6 linked regions of the Mus musculus genome follow. The protein of the gene in region 6 purifies or fractionates together with the protein of the main gene of each other region. This does not show direct contact. Links are inferred from orthologs where the notes say so. Each region holds a gene or a part of one and is shown on either strand. Other genes may lie near its edges. The genes, in order: Dhx9, Gemin4, Tarbp2, Ybx1, Ddx20 and Ago2.

What was found.
Region 1: the proteins of Ago2 (region 6) and Dhx9 purify together in Homo sapiens (affinity purification with western blotting; 5 studies listed by BioGRID and IntAct, with this or other methods). This does not show direct contact. The link is inferred for Mus musculus from reciprocal best matches to the Homo sapiens genes AGO2 and DHX9.
Region 2: the proteins of Ago2 (region 6) and Gemin4 purify together in Homo sapiens (affinity purification with western blotting; 4 studies listed by BioGRID and IntAct, with this or other methods). This does not show direct contact. The link is inferred for Mus musculus from reciprocal best matches to the Homo sapiens genes AGO2 and GEMIN4.
Region 3: the proteins of Ago2 (region 6) and Tarbp2 purify together in Homo sapiens (co-immunoprecipitation; 10 studies listed by BioGRID and IntAct, with this or other methods). This does not show direct contact. The link is inferred for Mus musculus from reciprocal best matches to the Homo sapiens genes AGO2 and TARBP2.
Region 4: the proteins of Ago2 (region 6) and Ybx1 purify together in Homo sapiens (co-immunoprecipitation; 4 studies listed by BioGRID and IntAct, with this or other methods). This does not show direct contact. The link is inferred for Mus musculus from reciprocal best matches to the Homo sapiens genes AGO2 and YBX1.
Region 5: the proteins of Ago2 (region 6) and Ddx20 purify together in Homo sapiens (affinity purification with western blotting; 3 studies listed by BioGRID). This does not show direct contact. The link is inferred for Mus musculus from reciprocal best matches to the Homo sapiens genes AGO2 and DDX20.

The regions. Positions count from the first base shown.
Region 1 is NC_000067.6:153,456,661-153,460,160, reverse strand, and holds part of Dhx9 (ATP-dependent RNA helicase A), read left to right. Parts: intron 1-441; coding exon 442-603; intron 604-695; coding exon 696-823; intron 824-1,424; exon of another isoform or gene 1,425-1,497; intron 1,498-1,671; coding exon 1,672-1,901; intron 1,902-1,992; coding exon 1,993-2,108; intron 2,109-2,429; coding exon 2,430-2,630; intron 2,631-3,407; coding exon 3,408-3,500. UniProt on the Homo sapiens protein: Multifunctional ATP-dependent nucleic acid helicase that unwinds DNA and RNA in a 3' to 5' direction and that plays important roles in many processes, such as DNA replication, transcriptional activation, post-transcriptional RNA regulation, mRNA translation and RNA-mediated gene silencing.
Region 2 is NC_000077.6:76,214,773-76,219,026, reverse strand, and holds the start of Gemin4 (gem-associated protein 4), read left to right. Parts: upstream 1-1,454; 5' UTR 1,455-1,539; coding exon 1,540-1,549; intron 1,550-4,254. Other genes in the region: Dbil5 (diazepam-binding inhibitor-like 5), read right to left, coding at 492-755. UniProt on the Homo sapiens protein: The SMN complex catalyzes the assembly of small nuclear ribonucleoproteins (snRNPs), the building blocks of the spliceosome, and thereby plays an important role in the splicing of cellular pre-mRNAs.
Region 3 is NC_000081.6:102,516,861-102,520,991, forward strand, and holds the start of Tarbp2 (RISC-loading complex subunit TARBP2), read left to right. Parts: upstream 1-1,331; 5' UTR 1,332-1,689; coding exon 1,690-1,742; intron 1,743-1,792; exon of another isoform or gene 1,793-1,984; intron 1,985-2,261; coding exon 2,262-2,431; intron 2,432-3,614; coding exon 3,615-3,717; intron 3,718-4,131. UniProt on the Homo sapiens protein: Required for formation of the RNA induced silencing complex (RISC). Component of the RISC loading complex (RLC), also known as the micro-RNA (miRNA) loading complex (miRLC), which is composed of DICER1, AGO2 and TARBP2.
Region 4 is NC_000070.6:119,281,014-119,284,513, reverse strand, and holds part of Ybx1 (Y-box-binding protein 1), read left to right. Parts: intron 1-1,643; coding exon 1,644-1,733; intron 1,734-2,065; coding exon 2,066-2,368; intron 2,369-2,861; coding exon 2,862-2,944; intron 2,945-3,500. UniProt on the Homo sapiens protein: DNA- and RNA-binding protein involved in various processes, such as translational repression, RNA stabilization, mRNA splicing, DNA repair and transcription regulation.
Region 5 is NC_000069.6:105,684,772-105,688,772, reverse strand, and holds the start of Ddx20 (probable ATP-dependent RNA helicase DDX20), read left to right. Parts: upstream 1-1,201; 5' UTR 1,202-1,345; coding exon 1,346-1,649; intron 1,650-2,039; coding exon 2,040-2,134; intron 2,135-4,001.
Region 6 is NC_000081.6:73,182,148-73,186,254, reverse strand, and holds the start of Ago2 (protein argonaute-2), read left to right. Parts: upstream 1-1,307; 5' UTR 1,308-1,472; coding exon 1,473-1,494; intron 1,495-4,107.

The sequences.
Region 1 (3,500 bases), on a different chromosome or scaffold from region 6:
TTTCCAATTTTTTATTAGATACTTTCTTCATTTACATTTCAAATGCTATCTGAAAGTCCCCTGCTCCCTTCCCCACCCACTCCCACTTCTTGGCCCCGGCGTTCCTCCCTACTGAGGCATATACAGTTTGCAATACCAAGGGGCCTCTCTTCCCAATGATGGCGGACTGGACCATCTTCTGCTACATATGCAGCTAGAGACACGAGCTCTGGGGGTACTGGTTAGTTCATATTGTTGTTCCACCTATAGGGTTGCAGACCCCTGCAGCTCCTTGGGTACTTTATCTAGCTCCTCCATTGGGGGCCCTAATATTAGTTTTTATTTTGGAGTTCTTTGATGAGTTCAGGGATAGAGGCAGTATCCTAGCCAACAGAAGATTCAGTCCACATTTGAAGGTCTTCTAGCAAGAAGACTTAAACTGTTATACTACTCTTGTTTCAGTGTGGGAGATGCTGTCTGTACCATCTCTGCTGCTACCTGCTTCCCAGAACCCTTTATCAGCGAAGGAAAACGCCTGGGATACATACACCGGAATTTTGCTGGAAACAGATTTTCTGATCACGTGGCTCTTTTATCAGTATTCCAAGCCTGGGATGATGCTAGGTAGGAGTTTATAGGCAACTCTGTAAGCTATTTGAGTATGTAATTCAGCTTGCTGAGCCTTTGAGAGTGAATGCTTTTTCTCTTTTGTTTAGGATGAGTGGAGAAGAAGCAGAAATACGTTTTTGTGAGCAGAAGAGACTCAATATGGCTACACTGAGAATGACTTGGGAGGCCAAAGTACAGCTTAAAGAGATTCTGATTAACTCTGGATTTCCCGAAGGTATTTATAAACTGGTCATTGTGTCTCATGTTGGTAACTCTAGATCTAGGGGGCTAAAAGCAGAATAAAATCAGTGATAATTCAAAGATAGTCTGAATTAGTTGTAATACCCATTCTCAATTATATAGAAAGAAACTCCCCTAAAAAGATAATTTGTGAGTCATGGCAATAAACTACAGGTACAGGAGAATATTTATGATTCTCACCTATTTGAACATACATATTTTTATATGATGGATGAGACACTTATTCAACTTTGTTTATAGCAAGTTGAGTTCCAACTGGATTAAACTTTGTGAACTGGAGTGGGCTTAACCAGAAACAGAATATATGTTAGTACCAGAAAGTAGAATTTTAAAAGGTTATAGTTGAAGTAGGTTTGTTTGTTTGTTTGTTTGTTTTGGGGGTGTTGTTTGTTTATTTTTGTTTTTTTGTTTTTGAGACAGGGTTTTTCTTTATAGCCCTGGCTGTCCTAGAACTCACTCTGTAGACCAGGCTGGCCTCAAACTCAAAAATCCGCCTGCCTCTGCCTCCGCCTCCCAAGTGCTAGGATTAAAGGTGTGCGCCACTGCCAACTGGCCTAATTAATAAGCACACCACATAGTTCCACTGGGGCTCAAACTCAGGACCTTCTGCATATAAAGCAGATGTGATAACCACTACCCTATGGAACCAGGCATAGGGACTTCTTGAATTGTCGTTTCATCTGCTTTGCTAGTAATAACAGCGAATGCATTTCTCAAAGTTGCTCTGTGTTGGGAAAGTTCTAAGAAAGTTGTCAGAGGGCTTAGAGAGTCATGCTGTTATTTAATTTTTACAAACCATTTTCCCAAAATTTTTTTTTACAGATTGTTTATTGACACAAGTGTTTACTAACACTGGACCAGATAATAATTTGGATGTTGTTATCTCTCTGCTGGCTTTTGGTGTGTACCCCAATGTATGCTATCATAAGGAGAAGAGAAAGATTCTTACCACTGAAGGGCGCAATGCACTTATCCACAAGTCATCTGTGAACTGTCCTTTCAGCAGCCAAGACATGAAGTACCCATCTCCTTTCTTTGTTTTTGGTGAAAAGGTAAGAGGATTAGAGAAGTCTGAAAGATGAGAAATGTAATGTGACTAATTACCTATCAATGTGTGACATTTTACATTTTCTTTATTTACAGATTAGAACCCGAGCCATCTCTGCTAAAGGCATGACCTTAGTGACCCCCTTACAGCTACTTCTCTTTGCCTCCAAGAAAGTCCAGTCGGATGGGCAGATTGTGTTTATAGATGACTGGTAGGGACTTTCAGTCGTAATCTTCAACCTGAATTTTTAGAATAAAGATTTCTTAGAATAATGTGTTTAATAATAGTCCTTAGAGATGTTCTTAGTCTGGTATATTATATACTTAGAACTGGACATTTTTTGAGATGTTTGTATGTTCATACTGAATGTTACTGTTATTACATTCACCTAGGTTTGGGGCATGTCTTAATTTTAATGAAATAGTTAAATTTATGCCACGACTTTAACACATGGGAGGGCAGTTTGTCAGGTATTCATCTGCCTCTTTCTGTATATGTTTCCAGTTTTATGTCTTGTTTTCCTTCATCTTAGGATCAGACTGCAAATATCTCATGAAGCTGCAGCATGCATCACAGCCCTCCGGGCAGCCATGGAAGCTCTGGTTGTTGAAGTGTCCAAACAACCAAATATTATCAGCCAATTGGACCCTGTAAATGAACATATGCTAAACACAATCCGACAGATTTCTAGGCCCTCAGCTGCTGGTATCAACCTTATGATTGGAAGTGTAAGGTGAGTACCTAATTTTATGTGTCTAGCTTTTGCAGACCTAGAATTATTAAAACTAGTTGGTAGAGTCCTTGATACTTAGGTTAAAATTATTTAACATTAAATGTGGGAGTTTAATTTGACTCAGAACAAAAGATTTCCTTTTTTCCTATAAATTAATTTACAATGCCATATGAGAAATAAAGCCCTAAAAAGTAGAACAGATTAAAAGTCTGAAAATGATGTAACCTAGATGAGGCCTTTTCCTCCATACTGTGGAATCTCAGATACAGTATTATTCCTTTCTCAAATAGAAAGGTCAGTGTTTATTTTACTGTCTGCCTTAAGAAATTTCTCTTCAGTGGTCACCCACCTGCATTTATAAGAAAGGAATGTTACAGTGTATGTTTGTGTTCCTTATTTATGCTTATTAGTTTTGAGTATTTCAATTTTAATCACTTTTGAAGTAATAAACACACTATGAAAGATCCTCTGGATCTTTTATCAAGTTATCTGCCTTTAATTTTAGTATAACTGAACTGTTGTTATGATTTATTACTCTGGCTTCTTTAACATGAACAAATACAGGTAGGGAGTCATGAGGAGTTTCCACCAAAGTCATTTGTACAGGAAAACACTTGATAAAAAAAATACTGTGAATTACAGGAACTTTGTGGTCTATGGAAAAATACTGAAAGGGCTGTTTATACCACATGAGTCTCATTATTAGGTCAAAATTAATTCACTGTGATTGCTAATTTAGTGTGCAGAGCACAGCTAAAATGATTTTTCCCCCCCTAGGTACGGCGATGGTCCACGACCTCCCAAGATGGCCCGATATGATAATGGAAGTGGATATAGAAGGGGATATGGTGGGGGAGGATATGGTGGCGG
Region 2 (4,254 bases), on a different chromosome or scaffold from region 6:
TCAAAATCCTAACTTCTCTGGACCTGTGTTCTAGGTGAGGGCTTTTCTATTTGTCTTTAGCTCTTTAGAAGGCAGAGCCCCTTTCTCCTCTGTACTGTTGGGTTCTTGGTGTGTTGATAACCCCTGATAATACAGATCCAAGCCCCCACCCCTGGTTATTTTAATAGCATGATTCACCCCACCTCTTTGCTCTTCTGCCAAATATCCACACACATTGTGGAACTGGGAAGACTATTAATGCCAGTCAGACCACAGAAAGGCAGATTAATGGAGTTTCACCCAGCAGAGAGAGGCTTCTACACATCTAAATACTTCTCCAGGACCCTCAAAGTTTCTCTTTTGCCACAGACTCCACTCTCATGCAGTTTGAATGATTTATTGGTGTTTCTGCTAACGCTGCTACCCTTTCAGTGTGTTTCAGCCATCAGGAATCTTAAACCCGTCCCCTACCAGTGGAGCCATGCTACTTCCTTGTGTCTGCCAAAATGCTCTTAGCATGGCTCCTTTTTCTTCAGCTCTTCCACTTTAGCAATGTAGATCCTCATGGCATCCATCTTGGACATCCCTTTGTTTACCATCCAGGCCTCATATTTGGCCTTTGCTCTCACATCTGTGGCAGGAGGGACAGGGATGTTACAGTCGCCCTGGGTGGCCTGTTTGTAAAAGCTGTACACCAGCAGTTTCTCCTGATCACTCACAGGCCCCTTCAGCTGCTTGAGTGAAGCACAGGCCATTTCAAACTCCACTTGGCTCATTGGTATACCAGAGGCAATGCTTCTGTTTTTAAGTGATGCGGGGTACTAGAAGAAAGTTGGAAATAAGCAAACCATGTTATTGTTAGGCCTTGGAAAGAAGGGGTAAAGAGATAATGTGTGGGATGAACACGGGGCGTTTGTGTGTTTAATAACGTACAAATCGAGGACCAGGAATCCATTCAATTGCTCCTGCCCCGCAGAGCTTTTTCCAGTGTGACTGCCCTTCAAAGTTATAAAAGCACCTATGAGCTCTGAAAGTTGACTCTGCTGTTGCCTATAGGAGATAGTGCAGCATGAAAAGCAAGCATATAGGGAGTTTTGTGTGTCTTGGGGGGGGGGGGGATGAATCCCGTGGATCCGCTGCTGGTTAGTACACAGCTGAAGGAAAGTTATTCCATGTGGGTGAATCCGGGGCGAGAGCTGCCCGGGGTTCCTGAGTGAGGGTGAATGAGGGGTCTGGACTAAGGGGTTCGACCTCCTTGCCTGAAGGGGTCAGGTTCCACATGGAGACAGCCAACAGTACCTGTGGTTAAGAAGGCTGGGAAGCCTAGGCCGAGAGGGGGCGCTGTGGCTAGGGTGGCTTCGACGCTGCGAGCTTGTTGGAGAGGAGTACGCGTGCGCCTTGAACGGCAGCGGCTAGCAGACTACAGCACGGAAGCGGAGAAGCGCTGTGGGCGGAGCCTGTGACGCGCCTGTAGCGCCGCCCTTTGTGCCGTGGCGCGGGCAACGCGTTCGCGGCCTTGGACTAGGAGGGGCGGTCTAGCCCGCCGCCAGCGTCGCCGCCATGGACCTAGGTGGGTTCCCACTTCCCTACTCCGGCCCCTGGGCCGCACCCCCCCAAAGCACCTCCTGGGCAGGCTGAGGCTCTGCACTGCTCCTACGGTGCTCGGGAGGCTGGGGGCTTGAGGAGTTTTGGGGGACCCGCAGTCGCGAGGCCGGCCTCCATCCTGTAGCCCCACCACATGACGGTCTCCTAGAGTCCTCCTCCGTCCTTCGTAGTGTCTTCCCAGTGGGAAACCGGGAGCGAATATAGCCTTGATTCTCCTGGAAATGCTCAGGGCTACTGCACGTGTTTCGGAAATGCCGGGCTGGGAGGGACGGACGTCCGGAGAGTTCTTCGTTATTAAATGACTGCCGAGTTAGTGAACATGTTTCTTATTAGGTCGCCTAGTGCATAAAGCAAAAATACTGATACTGTCTTTCTCCCAGAGGCTTGGCGTTTTCTTTGCGACCACGTGCATAACAGGACCCCATTCGTTGACTCACGCAAAGCGACCACCCCACCCCCACCCCTCTCTTGTGAGCAGGAGTTGCGCAGCCTGAGATTTCACTTTTTGAATCCGAATTCGAGTGCTGCTTGGTTTGGAGTATCCTCCTAGGCGAGGTCTGGAAGTAAGGCGGAGTTGATAGAAATCTGTGGCCATCTGCCAACCCTCTCCACCCTGCTAGGTGTGCTCTTTAGAGGGTAAGACTAGGAGGCCGTCCTGGGAAGTACTCCAAGATTTGCAAATAATACGCTGTGGAGAAATGTCTTTGTCCCTAGCCAGCTCTTTAGTGTGGAATGGTAGTTTCGTGCCCTGCAGCTGTGAAGAGTGCTGCCAAGGCTTGACTCCCTAGTTGAGACACCTTGCAAAGTTGTGCCTGGGCCTCTAGCTTCCCATCTCCAAAACAGGAGTTATAATCCTCAAGAAGTTAGTTTGACGATTACATGATTTTTATAGGTGTCAAGCTGGGTGTGGTAGCTTATGTCTAACTAGCACTCTGGAAGCAGAGGCAGGAGGATCTCAAAATTCTAGGCCGACCTGGTCTGTATAGTTTCAAGCCAGTTCCAGCTATATAACAAGAGCCTATCTCAGAAAAAAATACAAGTATGCCACCCAGCACAGTGCCTACCAAAGTAACCAGTCACTTCCTAGCACCAGCTACTGATTTAAAAAAAAAAAAAAAAAAAAAAGCCTTTGAGTTTCCCCTGGCTATGAGCTGAGTCTGGGACTTTTCTCAAGCCACATGTACACAGTCTCTGAAAGGCACATGTTTGGCCGCAGACATTTGCTCTGCTAAGCCGATGTCTAATGCAATAAAATGTCATTTACAGTTATAAGGAAATGTGTTCGGGGGCCGGCAGACCAACCTGAGACAGAAAGAACCCTGGATTGCCTTCAGGTCTGGGTTTTGTGGGAGTGCTGAGCCTTGATTTGGGGTGGGCAGGCAGTGACAGTAAATGGTTAGTGGCCAGGAGATTTTTTAGTTGCCTGGTGTCAGTAATTTTTTTTTTTCCCTGGGGGTAGGAGAAGTTTGAGATGGTAGCCATGATGTAGCCTTGGCTAGCCTGAAACTCAGTACGTGGACCAGGCTTGCCTCATAAAAATCTGCATCACTAGAGAGCTGGGACTAACGGGATAGGCCACCACAGCTGTTCACTGGAGTCAGTACTTTTGCTGCCGACTCTGGCCTATGAGAATAGGGCAGATGTGTTTCTGGGAGCATAGAGGACTGAGGAGAGAGCTAGCAGTGACCGTGACAAGGTGTTGCACTCAGCTTCTAGGCCAGATTATACACTTTGGGAAAGACCTGTGCCCGTCTGTTTCTGCACTGGAGGAGACAAAATATTGACAAGACTAGTCCTGCCAACACTTGAGCATTTAAATCAGGCTCTTGATGGTCTGATTATGGTTAAGATAGCTTATATAACCCATCCAATTCTTCCATACCTGGGAGATGCTTCAAAAAGGTAACAATACCAGAATAGTTACAAAAGTGTGATTAGTGTATGTCCTGTGTCATGTGGTTCCCATACCATGAAGATTATAGTCTCATGTATATATGCATACATATATTCTCATGTATGCAGACGGGAGACTCAGTAAAGTGTAAAGTCACATCATGTTTTAACAACTGAGTTAGGATTTGAATCCATTATCTTGATTAAACCCCCACATGGCCTCCCTTTAAATGTCAGTTCTTAACTCAGTGAATGAGTGACCGCTGTCTTGATGTAATATTTGTTTTGTCCACTTCCTGGTTCCTACCACAGAGCCAGAACCTTCACCAGCTTGTCCTTTTTGACTGGAAGAAACTGCTGGGTGAACTTTTTCCCTGTAAGGCACAGAATGTTGAAACTTGTTGAAGCAGGAGTGTGCTTAGAAAGAAGGAAGGCAGGGCTCCGGATACAGCTCAGTGGTAGAGTGCTTGCCTGTTACATGCAAGGCTCTGAGTTCAAAAACAGGCTTAACTGAGTGTGGTGGCACAGGCTTTTGATCTCAGCACTCAGGATGTAGAGGCAGACAGATCTGAGTTCAAAGCTATCCAGTTCATAATGAGACCCTGTCTCAGAAACAACCAAAAACACTAAGACAATAAGCACCTCCCATCCCCCAAAGACTACCTATTGTATCTTCCATAGTCTGCCATCACTGGACTCAGTTTTGTTTAGGTTTTTTGTTTGTTTGTTTTTTAATTACATTCTTGGTGTGTATGTGTGGATACCACGGTGCACAAG
Region 3 (4,131 bases), about 29 Mb from region 6:
TCCTCCTCCTCCTCCTTCCCTCCTCCCCCCGTTGCCCTCCACCGGACCTGGAGAGCTGTCACCGGCGATGCTCGTGTGGAACTCAGGTGTACGGGTGTCAGCCCCAGCTTTTAGCCCCCACCCCCTACTCGAAGCCCCGTCCCCACTCGACTTGAACTCCCGCTCCTTCCAAAGCCCCCGCCCCTGGCCCCCCGGGACGGACACGCCCTGAGCGGGGGATGCTGCGCTGGAGTCGCCGGCCTCTTAAAGGAGCCTGTGGCTGCCATCCGGCGCGATCCAGGCTCCTTCCTGGAGGTGTTCTACGGCAGTTCCACTTTGGTCCTCATGCGGAATCTGTAGGATCCCCTTGTGACCTGTCTTACAGATTCTTTCCTACACCCCGAGAGCGCAGTCCATCAGTATACACAACGCTCTGGCACTGGTCCCTTGTCATACCGACATCTCCAGCTGGCCTTCCCTCGTCGCTGCTCCATTTTCACCCAATTGGAATCCACCCAGCCGTAGGTCCCTTCCCACTTCTGTGCTCCTGGATGACCGATCGCTCGTTTTCATTACTGATTCCTCTTACCTCTAACCCTATTCCTTTCTAGCAAGACATCTTATCCTAGACCCATTTTAAAAAACACTCTTTGAATCACGTTTTTCGTGGTATCACTTTCTCCTTCTGTCCAAGGTCACAAGATTTCCCATATTTCTTTCACTCTGGTGGTATCAAGGCTTTGGAGAGCCAAAGGTAATCGTTAAGCTCTGCGCGTATATTAGTTCGTTAATTATTCCTGTGCTCTTTCAGGTGAGACTAAACACAGAAGGTCCATCTAATGATTCTCGGGACAGTTAAAAGAGGTTCACTAGGGCTGATCTAAAGAGGCACGAACCCTGTCAGGCTGCGTGGAGTTAGTGAAGAGAGGCGAAGGACAAGCCACAGAAAAGCAACGGGTTTTTTGACACGGAGTGCTGAGAAGCTTACGCTACAGCCTGGGAGACCGGGTCTGAGGAGAACTCCGGACTTATAAAACCCCAGAGCTCTGGGGTGGGGGTGGCCAGGTAAGGCACACCCTCTGGGGCAGCAAAAGGACTTCGGCCAATCACAGCCTTTCCTCAAGGAGAAGGCTACACCTTTCCTCGTCTCCGCCCTCTGGGCCAAGTGACCAATCTGCAAGCGCCTACAGGAAGTCGCTCTCAGTATAGCCAATAAAGCAGCGAAGCCCGCAGCGGCGCCCGAATGACGCGCTGGCGCCTGGGTTCTGTAGTTCTCTCAGGGAGACAGACCTTACCGCCCCGCCCCTGGCCGCCTACACGCAGCTAATACGCATGCTCACAGTGTCGGCTTGGGAGGAGGCGGTGCGCAAGGAGGAAGGCGGGAATGACATTAGGAAAAAAAAAAAACCAAAAAAACAAAAAACCCAACCCACTCGTAGTAGCTTGGGAAGCTTCCGCCGAGGGTCTGCTCCTCCCAGAAGGCGGTGCAGATGCCCGGGCGAGTCTCGCTGAGGGTTGTGGGGCGGGTAGCTCGGATCCATAAGAAGACACAAGGAGCCGAGTGGGCGGGGGACTCCAGATCCCAGCATGCCCCGCGGCGGGCCCTACCGGCCGCGACTCCGGGCTTGGCCCCGGCCCTAGCTCCTCGGCGGTGTACTGGGGTGCGTGGAGGCTGTAGTCACGGTGGCGCCCGCGGGGACGGAGGAGGGAATGAGTGAAGAGGATCAGGGCTCCGGCACTACTACAGGCTGCGGGCTGCCCAGGTGAGCTGCCTCGCTTGGATTCCTGAAGGACGAAAAGTGTGAGGTGGTGAGGAGGGGCGGCGGCGCGGCCCCAGCATGCACCTGGCCTGAGGGTTGTTCCCAGCAAGCACTGGGGTAGTGGGCAGAGGTTCCCGGCATGCACTGGGGCTGTGGCCAACGCCTCCAGCTCTAGTTTGGGGTTGGCTTGATTCCCAGACTGCACTAGAGCCCTGGGCTTTATGCCCCGACGTTCAGTGTATTTGGTGGGTACTGGGTTCCCGAATTGTATTGTGTCGGGGGAAATGCACGTTCAACCAGCACCACGGCACAGGATCCCTCGCCTTAACTGAGAACAGTACATTCTCCACTTGCCTTGGGACCTTGCTTTCCCTCATGCACCTTAACTTTTAACCCAGCCAATGGATGCTATACTGCCTGGGAATTCATGGACCCTATAATGTGGCTAGGTCTAATGTGACAGTGATTTGCCAGGTGGGTGCCGAAAGGGGAAGTGTGATGTTGGTCTGTGCCCCTTCCCAGCATAGAGCAAATGCTGGCCGCCAACCCGGGCAAGACCCCGATCAGCCTTCTTCAGGAGTATGGGACCAGAATAGGAAAGACGCCCGTGTACGACCTTCTCAAAGCCGAGGGCCAAGCCCATCAACCTAATTTCACCTTTCGGGTCACCGTTGGCGACACCAGCTGCACTGGTGAGGAAGGCCTGGGCAGCCTGGCTGGGGTGTGCATTCACAGGGCCCGTGGCTTAATATCATGCGATCACCTCACAGTCCTCTCCTTTAAAGCCAGGGAGGGATGGAGATATTTCAGGGGGAAAGAAGGATTGGAACAGGGCTGTGAGACGGTGGACGGGACCCGAGAGACTCACTGGCGAGAACAGGAAATGTCACAGAGATCTGCTACTTTATCACCCCAGAGGAAGAGTAAATGAGACATTGAACTCCTCGTGGGTATTAGGGGGAGCACATACTCTGCTAGCCTTCATGCCTCACATTGAACACGAAGAACTTAGTATGAGAAATTAAATGGTAGGCTCCAGTTCACATGTAATAAGTGGCAGAGCAGAGCTTTGACTTCAGACCCTCAGTTGTCTCTATTTCCTATTTACCGAGGGAAGAGAAAAGGGGAAAGAAAGACAGAGCAAAACATCCCTCCGCAACCCACCAGTGTTGGAGCTCAAAAATCCTGCCTGGCACAGTTTCATTACGGGAGCTGACTGAAAGAGGAGGTGTTCAAGGCCCATTTCTGTTGCTGTAGTAAGGCTCCGAAACTAAAAGCAGTTTAGAGGAGGAAAAGGGTTGATAGGTTTACAGTTCAGGTTACATTCATGACTAAGGGAAGCTAAGGAAGAAACTCACATTATCAGTCAAGACCAAAGAAAATAATCTGATTCTTGCTACTTCTGACTAAGGAACTCACTTCACAGCCACAGAAGCACAGCAGGAACAATGGCAGATACTCCATGCTGGCTGGCTGGCTTATTTATACTCTACTAGATTTCTTACACAGTTCAGGACCACCTGCCTAGGGGTGGTACCACAATAGTGGGCTGTGCATATCAGCATCAATTAACTATCAGTCCATCCCCCCCACCCACCCCCAGACATGCCCTCAGGCCAGGCTGATGTAGGCAATTCCTCAGTTAAGGCTCTCCTTTCAGATCCTTTTAGATCCTAGGTTGTGCCAAGTTGACTGTTAATGCTAACTAGGAAAAAGGCTAGTCCAACAATTAGTAGAACCCTTCCAGTTCTGACAGGGGAGGTTGGTCAGAGGGCTCTTCTCACTCCCTCTGGCTATGAGGAGATAGGCTGTGGGGGCTGGTTTCTCTGCTGTCCTGCCGGTGACCTCCAGTATTGCCCACGCCCCTTTTCTTAGGTCAGGGCCCCAGCAAGAAGGCAGCCAAGCACAAGGCAGCTGAGGTGGCCCTCAAACACCTCAAAGGGGGGAGCATGCTGGAACCAGCCCTGGAGGACAGCAGGTGAGGGAGGAACAGCCAAGGCACACTAGAAGCCCGCTGAGAACCCAGGCCTCTGCACTATCTACTTCTCTCCCTAAGCCTGGTCTGGTGACTCATGGCCACCCTCTCGTGGCCCCTTCCTGAGAATTTCCTCTGAAGCTGAACAGGGTGTTTCTAGAGTGCCTCAGAGTAATAGCCAGCCCCCTTTGATGGGTGGTGGCTGCTCTGGGGCATGAGAAAAGGGCATAGGGGGTGGAGGCAAAGACTGATAAAGTTGGTCCTGGCATGCCCCCTCTTTCTAGCAAGATGGCTTTCCCTCTTCCACATTCAGGTTGCAGCTTGTTGGGTAGAAAGAGACTCTTTTCTGAGCCCCCACCCTAACCTCAGTGCTTCTGAGCCAGTGTGGGGTCAGCAGAGGATCCCAGGAGGAAGAGC
Region 4 (3,500 bases), on a different chromosome or scaffold from region 6:
ATTGAGAATTCTGTTAAAGTAAGACACTGCTGCTACGTGAGTGCTCCACTGTGCCCAGCAAGCTTGTCTTCACATGAAGTGGGTTAGAGAAGACATCGCTGGCTGACCAGCTTTTCACTGGGACTGGGAGTGTCCACATACATTAAAAGTTACTGTAAATTTTAACCACTTTTTTTTTTAATGATAGAGATTAAAAGGCCTAGTTTCAGAATCAGTACTCACCAGTATTCAGATAGCTAAGAGCTTGGGTGGCAGCATCCTCCTTAGGAGAAGTTAACAGGATAATTAACATTTTGTAGCTCTAGAAATGAGATTCAGAGGGGAGTCCCTGTATAGATTCTAGTATATTTAAAACCCTCTGGAATATAAGTATGCAATCATTTAAATTCTAAATGTGAATTAACTGCTCATCTTTAAAAGATGAATATCCTTGTTGATAAGGTAACTTTTACCTTTCCTCTTATAAGCTGAAAATAATAGCAGACTTGAACAGACAGGCAACAAGGCTTATTAGTCTTACTGCCACTGGCAACCATGAAAGATTAGAAGGGGCTAAAAGATGAATACTAAATGTTTGGGGATTTTAATGCATGCTTCTGCTATCCCCTATGACTGCAAATAATTGAGAGTTGGCTACATATAAAAGATGTGAAACTACGGCAGTTCAGATGACAGATGAGATCAATTATTTGACTCAACTCACCCAGTCGCATTATCCCACAGTGTCACCAATATGCTTTCCTACTTATTTTTCAAGTGGTTTCAACATGGAGTTGTTCTTGGGACTTGGATGCTCAGGTCGTGGTGGTGTATCAAGTAGACTGCAGTTCTGGGCACCGGAGCTTAATTGGCCTCAGCTTTGTTGGTTGTCCTGCCTCCTCTGGAATGGAAATGCATGAGTGATCCTGTAATGGATACTGCTGTGATGTGGAATGAACATGGGATTTGGAGTCCCAAGACCTGGATTTAGAAAAGTTCCCCTGCCACTTAATAGCTGTGTGACCTTGGGCACTTCATAATTTTTTAAAGCCCTATAATGTAAGACTTAACTGTTTTCTGGGGAGCTAATAACCAACAGAGAGAAGTACAAAGAGTGGTACAGGTACATGTGAAACGCATTTCCATGGAAGTGCTCATCATAGACAGGCTGGAAGGGATTTTGGTTGACATGTGTAATTGAGTTTGATATATAGTCAAGGGACAAGAGTTGTTAATGGTCAAGAGTTGAAGCATGTCAAACTAAACTCGCCTGTCATCTAAACTGGCCGTGTGTTGGGCTAGCTTCTGCTATTAAGTGCAGTCTTTGGGGGATAGATGGAGGCCTCATTTTGTTCCAGGCTTCATATGTGATGCTTTTCCTAATAGCACCTTATTTTACACATTGTTGTGTCTGTCTTGAGTATTAAATTACTTTAGTTTTGTAAATTGTGGTAAAACGCTGGGGCCTTGTAAGATTGGAGTCTTTTGGTTGAGGTTGGGGGTATCACTGGTCCCTGCTTTCCTAAACTATTGACAGTTTGGTCTTATGTAAAGCAAATATTAAGTATATATCCAAGGTAAAAATGATGTTGACGCTGGTACATTTAAAATGAAAAAGCACATTCTTCTCCCCTGTTAATCTATTTTTGGACTGATGTTACTAGACTGCCATAAAGAAGAATAACCCCAGGAAGTACCTTCGCAGTGTAGGCGATGGAGAGACTGTGGAGTTTGATGTTGTTGAAGGAGAAAAGGTGAGGATGCTTTTGTGTAAAGGTTTGACTTCGGTATGGAAACCATGTGGAGATGTCATCCGCTAGGATGGTGGCTCTAATTGGATGGATGGTGTGTTCTGGTGACCACATGAACACAGGTGCATCGAGCCTAATGTGCTGGCTGCAGTCAGAGCAGTCTCTGCAGAGCAGTGAGGAGCTAATGATGTAGCATTCCCATGCACCCTTTGCCCATGCACACAGCCTCCACTTTGTTTTCTCTTGGGTTTGGTTTTTCCCTTCCCCATATTTTGTGAAATTTATTGAATATTTTTATTTCCTTTGTTATTGTCAATAAATAATGACTTTTGTAGGGTGCGGAGGCAGCAAATGTTACAGGCCCTGGTGGAGTTCCAGTTCAAGGCAGTAAATACGCAGCAGACCGTAACCATTATAGACGCTATCCACGTCGTAGGGGTCCTCCACGCAATTACCAGCAAAATTACCAGAATAGTGAGAGTGGGGAAAAGAACGAGGGATCGGAAAGCGCTCCTGAAGGCCAGGCCCAACAACGCCGGCCCTATCGCAGGCGAAGGTTCCCACCTTACTACATGCGGAGACCCTATGCGCGTCGACCACAGTATTCCAACCCCCCTGTGCAAGGAGAAGTGATGGAGGTAAGTGCCAAAAAGTGAAGAGGATTGACATTGAGTGTAACAAGGGTTTTGTGTGCTTGTCCTGGGAATTGAACCTAGGCTAAGAGGATGCTAGGTTAGGGCTCCAGGCTCCTTGTTAGAGCTTTTGAGAAAGACAGTGTCTTGACTGTCTCCTGGAAATTCTCTCTAAAATTGCCCTGTTAGCCACAGAGTGTGCTTTTGAACCTCCAGGTGTCTAATAATTATGATTTGACCATAATTATTAGATGTCTTGTGCTCAAGAGTTGGAGTTTAGCTGGGCAGCAGTGGTGGTGTGTGCCCTTAACCCCAGTACTCTATAGGCAGGGCAGGTGGAACTCCTGACTTGAGGCCAGCCTGGTCTGCATATGTGAAGTGCCAGGACAGCTAGGGGAGGGGCTATGTAGAAAGACCCTATCTCAAAACAAAAGTTTCAATTTGCCCATTTGGGATTTTGTTGTTGATCAAATAGACTTTAATTTCTGATGTTTTCCAGGGTGCTGACAACCAGGGTGCAGGAGAGCAAGGTAGACCAGTGAGACAGAATATGTATCGGGGTTACAGACCACGATTCCGAAGGTATGGTCCATCATAACCTGTTTGTGTTAGGTTCTTCAGCCAGATGTTACCCCTCTCCAGCATCGCGCCTCTCAGTCTTTCGTGAGTTAATACTTCACATTCTCTCTCTTTTTTTTTGGAGCTGAGGACCGAGCCCAGGGCCTTGCTAGTAGGCAAGTGCTCTGGCACATTCTCTTTATTGAAGTGAGCAGTCTTTGAGGTGTATTATTTGCCTTTTGGCACTGCTTTGTTGTTTATTTTTTAAACAAGAGTGTAGAATTGCAAATTTTCTATTCTATAAAAGGTAATAGTAGTTCAAACAACAGTATCTAAAGCATGCTTAGGAGAGAAGAAAGGCAAAGTTGATCTTACTGGGAGGTGTCTGCTACCAGTCCTCAAGTATAAAGAGTACTGTGTAGTTGGTGTTTTAGGTAAGGAACGACTGGGCTAATGGAAGGAAAGCTACATATGCACTGGTCTCCAGGGGTTAAGCCTCCCGGGGGTTAATAGCTATGTGTGCATCTACACATGGAGACTAGTAAGTGGCTAGGTTCCCCACCCCACCCAGAATTTGGGA
Region 5 (4,001 bases), on a different chromosome or scaffold from region 6:
GGATTGGGTGGGTGAAAGATGTGGGCAACTATGAGGAAGCTTGCGATCTTTAGTTCCTCTTCCTTCATTTGGATAGTGGACGTTTGCTTAGTGCTTTGTTAATTTCTAAGCAAACATGTCTTAGTTAGGGTTTCCATTGCTGTAAGGAGACACCATGGCCAAGGACATTTATTGGGGTTCTTTTACAGGTTCTGAGACTCAGTCCATCATCATCAATGAGAAAAGTAATAAAGATATGCTTACATTTGGAAGCATGACTAAAGCTTTGTTCTAAGAGCTCTTTCAAAAAACAGTATTTAGTACGTGCCAGATTATGTTTCTCCTACCAGAGACAGAAGGGAACAAATCAGAATAGCTTTCTGTCCTCATGGAAAGTGTGTGTGGGGGTGGTGGTGGGGGGTGGACAATAAACATTTTAGGTAGTTGTATCATGAAGAACCTGACCAGGTATGGTGGCACACACATGTCATCTCAGTATCTGAAAAGTTGAGCCAGGAGGATTTCCAATTTGAGGCCAGCCTGAGCGGCATAGGGAGACTCTGATTTAGAAAATAAACAGACCAACTAACTAAGCCAATCAAACCAAATAATCAAACTCGGGGATAGTGGTGGGAATAATGGGAAAGGCCAGGAAGCAGTCAGGATGGAAACCACTCAAGATTTCAAGAAAAGCCTCTTTGACAGGGTGACACATGAGTGGGTCTAGAGGAAGGGAAAGTGGTGTGCTAGTTGCCCACCCCATAACGGAGGAAGGGCACACAAAAGATCCGTTGGACCCGAGACGTCTATTAGCCTAGGGTTTCCGAGAGAGCGATCAAGCAGAGCCTAGGAGTTGGCGTGCAGTCCAGGTTTCCACTTAAATATCAGGAGACTTCCGTCACGCGACAGGGTACGGATCGCGAAGACTTCGGCGTGGCTACAGCCGAGCTTGACCCAAGGAGCCGACTCCAAGCCCAGGCGACGGCGACCGATTCGCGAGCTGCGTCACAAAGCGCGTCCTGGGCGCTCGGGTCTGGAGCCCCGCCGCGCGGCCAGGCACTCAGAGCCGCGGGAGGCCGGCAGCGGGCGGCGCCCACCAAGGGCACGCGGCGCCCTCTGCAGGCCGCAGGCGGCAACACACCGGTAGCCTCATCTTCCCTCGCTCTTCCCGCCTCTTTCTCAGGCTACATTTTTTTTTTTTTTCTGCTCCCTCCTAGAGTGACAGCCTCCGACTTCCGTTCTTCCCCTCCGCTTCCAGGCGTGTCCGTGTCTTCTCCGGGAGGCTGCCAATAAAGTTTTTCTCCTTCTCGCTCCCAGGAGCCCCGCCTCAAGTCTAAATATCGCGAGATCTGGAGGCGCGGCTACCATGGCGGCGGCGGCGTTTGAAGTCCCGGCGGCCTTGACAACCTCCGAGTCCACTATGGCTGCGGAGCGTGCGGCCGCGCCGGTGCAGGCTGTGGAGCCGACTCCGGCATCCCCGTGGACCCAGCGGACCGCACACGACATCGGCGGGCCGCGCACACGTACCGGGGACGTGGTGCTGGCGGAGCCCGCGGACTTCGAGTCGCTGCTGCTGTCGCGACCGGTGCTGGAGGGTCTGCGGGCGGCCGGCTTCGAGAGACCCTCTCCGGTGCAGCTCAAGGCCATCCCGTTGGGGCGCTGCGGGCTCGGTGAGGACCGGGGCCGGCCGGCGGTGGGGGGAAGGAGGGGACGGCGTGGCCCCCGGAGAGCTCCGGCTCCGCGCCATCGCGGGGCTAAGCCAGGCTCTAAGGCGCGCAGTTGAATTTGAGGGTAGGACTTTCTTCCAGCATGGAGTCCAAGTTGGAGAAGGTGAGCGGCAGAGATTCGGGGCGCAAAGGGCTGGGGAGGTAGCTCGGTGGTTAAGAGATTGGGGCATCAAGCACACCTCCTGCGCGTTTGAGAGTCAACCAAAAATACAGGTGGCAACTAGGTCCTCATGGCAGAGAACCTCTTCATTCTCCTTTCTCGTATTTGGTATCTGGTGGCATCAGTAAATCTAGGTAATAATATGTAATATATATAATTTTTTTCTTCCTCAGATTTAATTGTCCAAGCTAAGTCGGGCACTGGAAAAACTTGTGTATTCTCCACCATTGCTCTGGACTCTCTGATTCTTGAAAACTATAGTACTCAGGTGAGTCTAACTCAGGATCCGGAAGGGGGTGTGTAGCACGTGACTCTATTGAGAGTCGTGACAAACTAGTAACTCTTCCAGATGGTGAGTTTGAAGAGGCCGGACCAAAGCGTATGCAAGTTAGGGAAGTAAACTAGATGGTCACGTCGGTGAGTTGTGGCCAAGGCTACGTCCAGTATTTTAAAGTTGGAATTTTCTGTTATAAGTACATCTCGACCATTTGTCAGTTGGAATCGTACAATTAAAAATTCATTTACTTTCTGACTAGAGTGGGATTAGACATAGAAGGTAGAAGTTCTGGATTAGTAAGTACTGTGCTATGGCAGAAATTTCAGGTGGTTCTTAAAGCCTTGTGTATGTGTTGTATTGATCTCTCATTTTCTAGGTTGCCTCGGGATATGGTTTTAAGATTGTCCTACTCAGCTTTGGGTTTGGGGGATCATTCTTTAAAAAGCTTTGTTTAGCCATTGTTACATATAAATACTATAGTAGGCACTAGGGATTAAACAGTGAATAAGATGTGATCCTGACACTGTCGTCTGGAGTGTGTAGTGATGGCTGACTTCAAAAGGGGGCTTTTGAGATGGTCGATCTTCAATGTGATTCCTTTAAACCCAGGATTCTTGTATTTGTTGTCTAGAATCTTTGAGTTCTATATCCACGAAACCGTGGGAGATAATGAATATACTTTTTAAAGTACATTGGCTAATTTATTTGAGATTTAGGATGTGTTGAGAGTTTTGGCTTTGTAATACTTGGCAACAGACAAAATCCCAAACTTGAGTAAAAATCATATTTTTAAGGTATATTATTAAAATAATTAGTGCCTGTGTATTATGTAGTATCAAAGTAATACTACATAATAATTTATAGTTGGGAAAATCAGAAAGAGAGAGAGAGAGAGAGAGAGAGAGAATGAGAATAAAGTACCCAAATCTGTGATGTGTGCCCAGAGTTAAGGGATTTTTAAAAAGTCTTATTTCCTAGTCTTTTTTTTTTTAAAACCAGTATGTTCATTTCCAGTAGTTACATTGCAGTTTGTACTGTGTGGTGCTTGGGGCCTTTGGTACCTAACCTTTGCAGTTAGCTTTGAGATATAGTCCTCTCACAAACCTTTAATCCCAGCACTTGGGAGGCAGAGACAGGCGGATCTACAGAGAGAGTTCACGAACAGCTAGAGCTACACAGAGAAACTGTCTCGAAACAACAACAGAGAGTATGTGGGTCTTTCTGCTGTTCTTCATGTATATCTTACTACTTTTGAATTTGTGTTTTCTCTTCCTAAAGCATTAGTGTGTCCCACAGCTAGCTCTGTGCTATACATTTAGGTTTCTTCTCAAATGTTACCTCCTTATGGGGCTCCTAACACGTTTGTTTGAGGCAGGCACACTTGGAATAGTCCTAGCTGGCCTGAAACCTAGACTAGTCTTCAACTGAGGCAATCGATTTCTGTTTCTAGGGTAGTAGAACCTTCTGTGTGTGCCGACACTCTCGATGTAAAAGGGCTTTCTGATTATCTCATTTAAAACCACTCCCGGGCTGGTGAGATGGCTCAGTGGGTAAGAGCAACCGACTGCTCTTCCGAAGGTCAGGAGTTCAAATCCCAGCAACCACATGGTGGCTCACAACCATCCGTAACGAGATCTGACTCCCTCTTCTGGAGTGTCTGAAGACAGCTACAGTGTACTTACATATAATAATAAATAAATATTTAAAAAAAAAAAAAAAAAAAAAAAAAAACCCACTCCCCTTGTCAGGGCTTTCTCTTTTCTCTATTTGATATATATATTAAAAAAAAAATCTTACAATTTATTACTTGCTATTACATGTATATATATGTTATGTATGTATATATTCATTATGTATG
Region 6 (4,107 bases):
GCTCCACTGCTGAGTGAAGTCTAACACCGCCTCCCGCCGAACACCACCTCCCCCCCCCCCCCACCTCACCGCATCCCCATTAGTTCTGTGTTACCCTGACTGGTTCTGAGCCAAGATGACTCCTGAGTTCAGCAAATCCTGTCTCCATCCCTAAAGTACCAAAGTATTGGTACCGCAAGGGCTAGGTATGATTGATTACCCATTTGTGTCAATCACTTGGGAGAGGGGTGGGGGCAAGTCTTTCTTCTATGTATCCTAGACTAGATTTACGGTTGCCATCCGCCTCCCTCGACTTCTGGCTAGCTGGAATGGCAGCCCTGCAATGCTGTGTCTAGTTTCCTCCTCCTCCTCCTTTATTGGAAGGAGAGCTGCTTTTCTTGTTCCTGGGACTATCTTTGAGCACTACACAGAATATGGAGCCTACCCCGATCCTGGGGTCCCTGCAGTAGGACCCTGTTTGTCTTTGGCCTGGGTTCTCAGTATGGGCTTTGAAGACATTGCAAAGCCTGCAGGGCGAGGCAGGAGCTGACACACCCGCCTCTTCTATAGAAAGGTTCCAGAGGCAGCTGGACAGGACTAGGAGCACACGCCAGCAACAAGTGAAGAAGGGACATACGTGCACAGAGCATGCTGGTCTAGCAGGCCTCAGAGCAGAACTTGGGGGCTCGGAGGCCAGAAAGCGGGAAGCCCCGACCAGATCTGCTCCCTGACAGCTGATAAAATTTAATCCTGAACTTGCTGGGCTTCCTTGGTGCTTTGCTAGGATTATCTAGGTTGTGGAGTCGCGCCGGGAGGTGGCGGTGTGGTCACGCGCACGGGTCTGGCCGCGTCCAAGTTCAAGCTCTGGGTGGGGAGCTAGCTTCCCGTCGCCGTTTCGTTAATAACTTAAAGAGCCAGGCCGAGGTGCAGGGGCGGGTGCGTGGCGGGACGCGGCCGAGGCTCTGCCACTCGGCGCGGGAGGACTCCGACTCTGGTCGCAGTGCCGGGCTGGCCGCGCCCGGAAACCAGACGTCGCCTCGCTCGGCCGCAGGGAAGGTCTCGGCTCGCGTGCCCTGGGTCGCTTCTGGGGTCCCTCATTCAGGGCAAGCACGCGGGGGGCCGCCACAGCGAGTCCCCCCCCCCCCATCCCGCCGGCGCGCGCCGCCTCCAGCCTCCTCCCCTGCCCCCCTCTCTCCCTGCCACCTTCCCTCCTCCCCGCCTCCTCCCTCCCCGCTGTCCCCTCCTTCCCTCCCTCCCCGCCGTCCCCTCCCTCGTCGTCCCTCTCGCCCCTCCTCCTCCCCTCCCTCCTCCCGCTCCCCTCCCCCTCCGCTCCCGCCGCCTCCGCCCGCCGCCCCGGCCGCGTCGGGTAAACCTGTTCTGCGAGGCGGCCGCGCCGGGGCGGATCGAGCGGCCGGCGGCTCCTCGCGGCTCGCGGCGTCGGGGCCCGTGGAGCGCGCGGCCGGCCCTCGGCCGCGGCCCTCGGCAACGCCACCATGTACTCGGGAGCCGGCCCCGGTGAGTCCGCGCGGCGCCCGGCACTCGTGCCGCGGCGGTTGGCGGTTGGCGGGCGGGGCAGGCGAGGGCGGCGGGGCCTGTGGGGCCGCGGCGTAGCCTCGGGGCGGCCGGGCAGGGCCTCGGGGCCGGGAGGCCCAGTGCACCCGAGCAGCGCCACCGGGACGTGTGCGGGGGCCCAGGCTCGGCCTGCAACGGGTCTCCGTCCTCCCGCAGCGCTCCTCCCGCCGTTCCCGAGCGCATAGCTGTGGGGCCCAGCACGGCGGGCCTGGGGCGGGGAGCTGGACGGGTCGGGAACCGAACCACGGGGCCCCGGGACCGCGATCGGTCGCTTGGACGCAGTTTCACGCCGGGCAGCCGCCCTCCCCATTCAAGTGCTAATCGCCCTGCGATTTCCTAGCGGAGCGGGTGGCCGCCGTGGCACCCCTTTCCCACCAGCGTGCCCGTTTCTCTGGAAAAGTTCCAGAAAACTTAAAAACACGGACGCATTTCCCCACCCCGCTCCTGGAGCCGAGCGGAGGGCGGTTTACTCGCGGGGTTGAGAAAACAAGTGTTGGGGAGGCTTTTTCGCCTTCTCCCGCCAGGCACGTGGCTCCATTTCCCGGCTGCCCCGCCGCTTGCTCGGGCTCAGCCTGCACCCCTTTGTCCGCCAGGCTGTACTTGGCGCCCGCGGGCCCTCCCTGCTGCCCACCTGACCTAGTGGTTCGGCCCTGGGGCCTCCCCAGACTTCTTCACTGTGGGGTCTGGAAGCCTCCCAGATCCTCCCGGGTTCCCTATGGTGCCTGCTCCGGAGCCTAGTGCGCCTCCGCTCCTGATGTCACAGGGCTCCTCGAATGCCCACTGACCAACTTGTAAATGCGTTAAAAGGCTTCCCAACGATTTGAAGACCCTTTTAACCTTGCGCTTGGGAGGTGCCCGGGTCCTAGGGACAGATGTTGGGGCCTGGAGGTCCCTGCGAAATGGCCAGCGGCAGCCTCCTGCCAGATTGGGAACCCCCCCCCCACCCCCACCCCCCAGCTCAGCGCTGTGGAGGAACCCAGCAAATCTTAGCTCCAAATTTGTACGTTTTCCCAATGTGTCAATTTCTAGTGACTTCCTCGGGGACGAGGCCAGGCTTTCGTCAATTTCGCGTGTTGATTGATCCCTTCAGCTTGCCACAGTGGGTCTTTCTTGAAGACGCTGGACAGTGGAGGCTCAGAGAGGTTTAACATCCGGGAGCCAGCAAGCATTAGGGCAACCTGTTTGAGCACTCCCCTCTAGAAGTGGTTCCCAGTCCCTTTGACCTTGACCCGCTGTTGGAAGTACTGGTTTGGTGTGGATTAGACCAGTGAGCTCTTTGCTAGGGTGGAAGTAAGAGCCTACTGTGTGTTCTGCAAGGGGAGCTTTGTTGCCTTTAAAAAAAAGAGAGAATGCGGTAGCAACCGGTTCATTTTGGTCACTGGCAGCTTTGAAGATGGCTGCTGCGTGGGCCTCCGCATTGTGGCCTAAGAGGGAGACAGTCCCCTCTAACCAAGAAGGCCTTGGGTGAGAAAAGAGATGCCTGTAGGATAATTCTTGGCTAATGGCAGACTGGGAAGGAACTCAAGTTTCAGGTGGGCCAGTGTCTGTAATTGCAAGCCTGGAGTGCAGCTCCATTTTATTGTACATATCAAGGCTTTTAATTCTGTTTACAAGGAATCCCCCCGCCCCCATCTCTTCAAAGAGACTCCATCATATTTCCAAGTTTAGGAGAATGGAAGACCATTGGATCTGAATTATAGAAAAGCGACAGACTTTTGCTGTTTCTGAGCTTGATGGGAAGTAAATAGTAAATTAACTTTAAAAATAGAATTCACCGTGGGTTCTTATTGTGTCTGTCACAAATACTGTTAGATGTGTGAGGTTAGTAACATTGGGGGCCAAGGTTTAGAACCTCATAGGGTTTTTTTCTTTTCCTTCCTGTGCTATTGGGGTTGGTTAGTGGTTTCGGGAAGGTAAATTAACTACCCATACTGAAACTTCCTAGATAGTGGGTTCTGGGTGGGGTCCCCCCCACCCAAGGATCTTAAACTGTCTGGGAGGAGCTTTGCCTCCTGCAAGGCGGTGCTCCTGCATTCTAGAGCCCAGGAGTATTTGCTACAAAATAACCTCTGTGACTCTGGAAACTGGGTTGAGAGTTGCCAATCAGGACTGAGTCTTTGATCATTGCTGTGGCCTCCGGTGGCAGCGGTTAGCCCTGCCCCCACCCTCATTCTCCCCAATTCACAGTTTTGTCTGAGGGTACCACTGCAGCCTGGCGGCCTGTGTGTGCCGCAGGGAAAGCTCTGCCAACAGCTGGAACGCACAGCCGGTGGCTGAGCACTTGTGGGAAATCTTTCCCCCACCCTCCAGTAGCTTGTGGGGGAATTTAAATAAGTGTTCAAGAAAAAAGATGTAAAAGCTTTGACTTACACATTCTGAAGAAGCAACATTTTGTAACTTTTGAGTTTCTCTGTCAACACCATTGGTTTTATTCTTTACAAGTAAAGAGGCTGGGGCTGCCAGAATGATAAAAATGTTTCTCTTCTTCCCCCCCCCCACTTTTAAAAAATTTTATGAACTGTTATCACACAATTTAAAAAAAAGTTTCTACCGTGG